Linked DNA regions of Mus musculus: region 1 is reported to be linked to region 2. The links are microRNA targets in miRTarBase. Many come from high-throughput screens and were not tested one by one. Region 2 holds a microRNA gene; the other region holds the end of a gene's coding sequence.

Evidence for each region. Region 2 holds the annotated microRNA mmu-miR-690 (AAAGGCUAGGCUCACAACCAAA, at 2,123-2,144, opposite strand). A microRNA usually pairs through its seed, bases 2 to 8, with sites in the 3' UTR of a target mRNA and lowers its output. Matches are read on the target gene's strand: a 7mer-m8 pairs with bases 2 to 8, a 7mer-A1 pairs with bases 2 to 7 and ends in A, and an 8mer does both.
Region 1: miRTarBase lists Fam241b as a target of mmu-miR-690. Seed matches in the 3' UTR shown: 7mer-m8 at 2,241-2,247.

The regions. Positions count from the first base shown.
Region 1 is chr10:62,106,121-62,109,529 of GRCm38, forward strand. It overlaps Fam241b (family with sequence similarity 241, member B), which reads right to left. Exons shown (of 4, transcript NM_027251.4): 4 at 1,536-3,003. The coding sequence ends at 2,734. Among named protein-coding and RNA genes, the nearest start is that of Fam241b, 3.2 kb to the right of the region's middle.
Region 2 is chr16:28,597,818-28,601,226 of GRCm38, forward strand. Mir690 (microRNA 690) reads right to left here and starts at 2,226; the gene lies at 2,118-2,226. It also overlaps a transcript of Fgf12 not described here.

The sequences.
Region 1 (3,409 bases), not on the chromosome of region 2:
TGCTGGAGAGGTGGTTCAGTAGTTAGGAGCACTGTCTGAGTTCAATTCCCAGCAACCACATGGTGGCTCACAACCATCTGCAATGTGATCTGATGCTCTCTTCTGGTATGCACATGTACATACAGATAGAGCACTCATACATAAAATAAATTAGTATATATAGTAAATGAAAAAAAAACCTACACGTTCAAATATTCATGTCTGTTCACATTGGCATAAATTCTAAGAAACTGGCCCAGGTGGTATAAATTTGTATTCCTATTTCCTTGAGAAGTTGAGGGAGGTGGCTCCTAAGTTCAAGGCCCACTTGTACTACAGCGTGAGTTCAAAGCCAGAGTGGACAACTTATGAAAAGTAAATAAAATGAAAGTCAGAAAGGGGATTGTAGGTGTAGCTCAGAGGTGTGTGTGCCTAGCACGTGCCAAGGCCCTGGGCTCAATCCCCAAATAATAAAACAATGATAATAGCACTGTCACAGCATCGCATGCCTATAATCCCTGCTACTTGGGAGGCTGAAGCAAGAGCATTGCAAATTCAAAGCCAGCCTGGGCTCTCTAAGCCCTGGACCACACAGGCCACCCTTCCAAGGGCAGGGCCGGGCACCTCTGCCTGGATTGGATCAGGTCGTCTTAGCACTTTCAGACCTATGGTTGAAGAATCAAACAGAGCAGTGTCAATGAACCCAGAGGCCAAGGACACAGAGTCAGGACACAGCCCCAATTCCCTTTGCCCTGTGTCCTAACTGCAGTAGGTCTGCCGTGGCCGCCTTGCTCACTTCCAGGTGAGACCTTGCTGCCTCTGGGTCTCTCTTCGGAACCTGAAAGCCTGCTCACTGTCTTCAATGACACATGGATTCTCTTCACAGGGTGTGGACTCTTTGACTTTAGAAAAGGAGACTGCGTTTCCACAAAGGCCCCTTTCAACTGTGACGCTCCAGTGTGTTACATGAGGACCCTAATTCGCATCCCTTAAGGTATTCCATGCATGAAACAAGTCCCGCAGACTGAAAGAGGACCCTGAGAAACAAGATGGCTCTGGGGAGCAGGATGGGGGCAGGCAGTCTATTGTGGCTGGGGAAGGGAGCAGGCCGACCTGCGAGGGTGTGAGATGTCACTGTGAACAGCTGAGATCGCGAGCAGCTGACAGCTACACTCCTTTTCCACCAAGAATGCGCCCATGTCCCCTCCTGTCATGCGCAGAAGACTCAGGAAACCTTTGGTGAGGGATCCACCCTGACAGAGGATCCCAGCCCCAGGGAGCAGTGGACAGGCACATGGCCTGAGGGAGGTTGTTTCAATCAGAAGAGCAAGGTCAGGAGAAGAGAATAGCATCTGCAGTCGTCAGCCACCCCTGGCCACACACAGTTACCCTCAGGGACCTGGGAGGGGGAGGTTGCTGGTACCAAGGCAGGCTGGGTCTTCAGGCTTCATTCTCCTGGAGCCATCACCCTGAGCCCACCAGACCTGAAAGGCCACCCACCTACTGCCTCTCTCAGGCAGTCTCCGGTGAAGACTCGAATTCAAGATCTGCAGGGTGGTGGTGGCACATGCCTTTAATCCAGGCGCTGGGACCTCCAGGCCAGCCAGTCTACAGAGTGAGTTCTAGGACAACCACGACTGCAGAGAGAGAGAGAGAGAGCACCAGCCAAACCCATGTCTCCTGTCAGGAAATCAGGGCTCCCTGGTCCTGAGACCTGCTAAGGAGAGCTCACTATGGCCAGGACTTCTGAGAGCTGCTGATGGCTGGACGAACGAACCTGAGCAGCCCCTGGGTTGAGCCCCTGAGCAAGACAGACCTCAGACATTCAATACACTCCATTCTTTCACTCCTTACACACTCCGCCCCCAGTCATCCTAAGGACTCTACCCCCACCCCAAAAGCTGACCTTGGGGTTCAGAGTATTGGGGTGCCTAGAGCTCCCCACAGCACTAGGCAAGGGGTCCAAGCCTGTACCTCACCTCCCAGCACCCTGTCTGAGAAAAATCCCCGACATCACAAGGTCAAAGGCCCTATCACCTCTTCTCCAAACCCAGCCACCCCACCAGCTTCTTCAGGCAGGGCAGCCGTGAGTCAGTCATTCACCGGCTTCTTAAAAGGGACTCCAATTTATTTATTGAAAATATCACAATAGCTGGGCACAGTATCACACACCTTTGGTCCCAACACTTGGGAGGAAGACACAGGAGGATCTCTGTGAGCTGGAGGCCGACCTGGTCTCCATGGTGAGTTCCAGGCCAGCCAAGGCTACACAGTGAGACTCCTCTGTCTTGGAAAACCCAAAGAAAAGGAAAGATCATGATAAATAGAATGTCAATATCCTTCCTTATACATAAAATCAGCCAATAAAAAAAGGACACCATTAAAATGAAGGATTGCTATAAAACTCTGGACAGTTCCCAGCTGCTCTCAGCTCCGGGTTTGCGCCTGGTAGAAGATTTGTGTTCTGGGAGAATACAACATACTAAGCCTTTCTTATTCCTGCTTGTGCTTTTTAGCGGAAGCCCTATGCCCCCTAAAAACATTCCAGGAAACCACAGGACTCTCTTTTTCAGCAATGCTGGCCCAGAGAGTCCCTCTGCCTCCTGCAGCGGGAGAAAAATCTACAAAGCCGGTCTCATGCCCATCACACCTTCTGAGCCCACCCAAGCTCCCTCCCCCTGTGCATGATGTCGCACCAAAGCCCAGTCCAGTCAATCCTACTGAACACTCCCGCCCTCATGAGTCCCCCGGAGGTCACCGCTGACTCAGGTGAGACACCAGGTAGACCAGGCCCACAAGCAGGAGGCCACGAACCCCGAGCATCATAAGCAGGAAGAGCAGGAGGATGGAGGTCACAGGTTCCACCACGTGGTTCCCAAGGTGCCATTGTGGGAAGCCCATGTTCACCAGCTGCCGGTTCAGGTCACTGAAAGGAGATTGGGCAGCACCCAGTCGGGCACCTGCCTGCTGCTGGCGGGGTCCAGGGCCCCCTGGAGGTGCGCCGTGGCCTCTGTTGAAAAAGCCCTGGAAGGTTAAGACAAGACATATGAGTCCAGGGGAAGTTTCCTTGGAATTGAGGCACCAACCAGAAGACTCCCGGCTGCCCCCCCCCCCATGGCCATCCTATAACCATGCTTCCTTCCTGGGACCAACCAAGGCACAAAATCTCAGAGCCTGTGCTCCCCTAACCATACCTGGAAAAAGGTGACCAGGATGGACAGGAGAGGAGAGGGGAGAAGCACGCAGTGAGTAGGTACCCTGAGGTTGGCACTCTCTCCATAACTGAAGCCAGCATCTCACCTCCATCCCACATTCTAGAGATGCTGGTTCCACTAGCGTTTGCAAAGCCCACCAAAAGAAAGGAAGTCCCTAGGTCTGAGGCCTAAGGGGGGCTCCCTCCCCAGAAGGCAGGAGCCAGACAGTTAGTCCA
Region 2 (3,409 bases):
GCCATGAAGTATTCATTCTCTGGGTTGTTGATGTCGGTGATCTTTTGGATGTGAGCAATCTTGAAATCACTTGAATTGGTAGAACAGGTTGCCTGTTATCAGAGGAGTGGACCTCTGCCTATCAGATAAAAGTCACAATAAAATAAATGGCCCCATACAGGCTTCTCTGAGAAACGTGAGCTTTTCCTGGACCTGCAGCCCAGTAAAACAGGCAGGAACTGTGCACATTTGCTGATAACCACACTCCATAGCCACATAATCCAGTTTCTTATAATCCAGATAAATTTCCTCCTGGTTCTGCTTATCTGAAGGACCCTGGCTCATAATTATTAATTTTTGTAATATTCATTAGAAAAAGGCTCTACCTTTTGGTCATCTACCAAACACCCAGATTGGATGTACAGCAAATGAATGGGACAAGATCTGTGAAATGCAAAGATACACAAGATAATCAGGGCACAAGGCCATTCAGAATTTAAACAAAGCCCATGTGTCAGCAGTAGCTGTTTGCCAGCATACCAGGCTCTCCCCTCTCATATCTCCTTAGGCTACTTCATCGTATTAGACTAGAGTACAAAAGAACAATGACAAAGTGGACCTCTTCCTTCTTCTCCCAGTCTCTACACTGATGTGTCCCTGAAATAAGGGCTATATCTAGACATTGCTAATGGAAGATCACAGGGAGGGGAGGGGGCTGGCTGGTCCTGTTGAGTGTGGCCTTGGAGCCATTTCACCATCTTAACATTAATGGTGATTACATAGACTAGTCAGACACATGGGACCCTTGTACTTTGATGACCCTTATAAAGTAAACAATTCCATCTTCCTATCATACTATATAATATCAAACCCCCAAAGGGGTACAAAAGTTAGCCTGTCCATTGTGCTTGCATTGGACATGAATAAATCAAATCAAATAAATAAATAAAACAAATATCCACTGTACACTGCACAATAACCACTAACAGGTCTGTAAACCTAAATGTGATGAGTGGCGTGCCCTTACGTCCCTAAGACACAGAGATTGAAGCACAGGGTGCTTTTACACAACTCCACCAGGTCTGCCCTACTTCTATAGTATGGACAAGTCCCTAAACCTGAACTCACAAGTTATTTTGGTAGCTCTCCTTCCATTGGGAAATGGGTCACTTCTTGTCAATGAAAGCAGAAAGTGTAAATTATCAGCAATCTCCATTCAAACAGTAATTCTCTTCAGCTTACCATATATAGGAAAGAAAATACATTAAAATGCCTTAGGCTGAAATTTAAGACCTGAGAGCTTAACTCTAGCTCAGTGGTTCTCAACCCTCCTAATCCCATCACCCTTTAAGGCAGTTCCTTACGTTGTGGTGACCCCCAACCACACAAGTATCTCATGATACTTCATGACTATAACTTTGCTACCATTATGAATCATATGTATCTTATATGCAAAGGCGTCATGACCCACAGGTTGAGAACCACTGCTCTAGCCACATGAATTTGATGACCACCTACTATGCACTGAGGATTGGGTGTGTGCCACTTCAGAAACAAATTTCCAGTCCAGCTCAACTTCCAAAGGATTTCAGATGCAGAACAACCTGGCCAGCATCTCATTATCATGGAAAATAATAGGGGCACTTAACTATGTTATCACCAAACATTTCTCTTGTGGAAATGGTTAGTGGGTGAATGGATACTTATTTTTTAAACAGCTGCAGTTTGGAAAATCTGTTACACAGCAACAAAGAGCTTGTACAACGAGCAGGAGACGCACCGATAAACTAACAGGCATGTCCACATAGTAAAATCAAACTAAGCAATAAAAAGATGATCTATTGTAGACAGAAGGAAGAAAATGTACTGTCTTTCTGACTGTGGGAAACAAAGTCATGTTCTGTAGCCCAGTGACTTGAGCTTGGTCCTGGGAACCCACACGAAGGAAGGGGAGAGCTGATTCCTGAAAAATTGTCCTCTGACCTCCAACTGTGAAGCCTCACACATCTGTGTGCACACAAAATAAAATAAAATGGTTTTGTTGTTGTTGAAGTTCAGATAGCCATTTTTTTTAATCACCTGACAAACCAGGTCATTGAAGAAACGTATTAACATCCTCTTAGGAGAAGAGTGGTTCTTATATTTTGGTTGTGAGCCTAGCCTTTAACAGCTGAGCCATCTCTCCAGCTGGAGGAGAATGTTTCTTACTAGCACTTTAATACAGCCAATTAGCTCCACAAAAACACAAAACAAAACAAAAGAAACACAGAAGAATCAACGTGGCCTTCAGGTTAAGAAAATAAACCACAAATAGAAAACAGTCTTTTGTCTTATAATTTGACAGATAGTTTTTTGTCCACTTCTTCTTACCATAGGCAAGGGATAATCATCACCCAGGCTGCTATTCTACCGACTCCAAACCTTGCACATTTCCCAGCTCTCAGCCTTAGGCTGAAATTTAAGGCCTGAGAGCTTAACTCTAGCTCAGTGGTTCGCAACCCTCCTAATCCCATCACCCTTTAAGACAGTTCCTTACGTTGTGGTGACCCCCAACCACACAAGTATCTCACTGCAAAAAGACTGGCTAGAAAAGAAGAGGAGACGAGTTATGAGTGATTCAGACCTGAGTGATGTCTCATGTCCAGTGTTTCATTTGCAAAGTCTCTGATAAAATGAAAATTATTATTATTATTGTTATTAAAATCTCAATCAAATCCATCAGATATCTCCTTCTTTATATATTTTTTATTATCTATTTTCCTCAATTACATTTCCAATGCTATCCCAAAAGTCCCCCATACCCTCCCTCCTACTCCCCTACCCACCCATTTCCACTTTTTGGCCCTGGCGTTCCCCTGTACTGGGGCATATAAAGTTTGCGTGTCCAATGGGTCTCTCTTTCCAGTGATGGCCAACTAGGCCATCTATTGATACATATGCAGCTAGAGTCAAGAGCTCCGGGGTACTGGTTAGTTCATATTGTTGTTCCACCTACAGGGTTGCAGATCTCTTTAGCTCCTTGGATACTTTCTCAAGCTCCTCCATTGGGGGCCCTGTGATCCATCCAATAGCTGACTGTGAGCATCCACTTCTGTATTTGTCAGACACTGGCATAGCCTCATACGAGACAGCTATATCAGGGTCCTTTCAGCAAACGCTTGCTAGTGTATGCAATGGTGTCATCGTTTGAAGGCTAATTATGGGATGGATCCCTGGATATGACAGTCTTTAGATGGTCCATCCTTTTGTCTCAGCTCCAAACTTTGTCTCTGTAGCTCCTTCCATGGGTGATTGCTTCCAATTCTAAGAAGGGGCAAAGTGTCCACACTTTGGTTTTCCTTCTTCTTGAGTTTCATGTGTTTTGCAAATTGTATCTTATATCTCGGGTATACTAAGTTTCTGGGCTAATATCCACTTATCAGTGAGTACA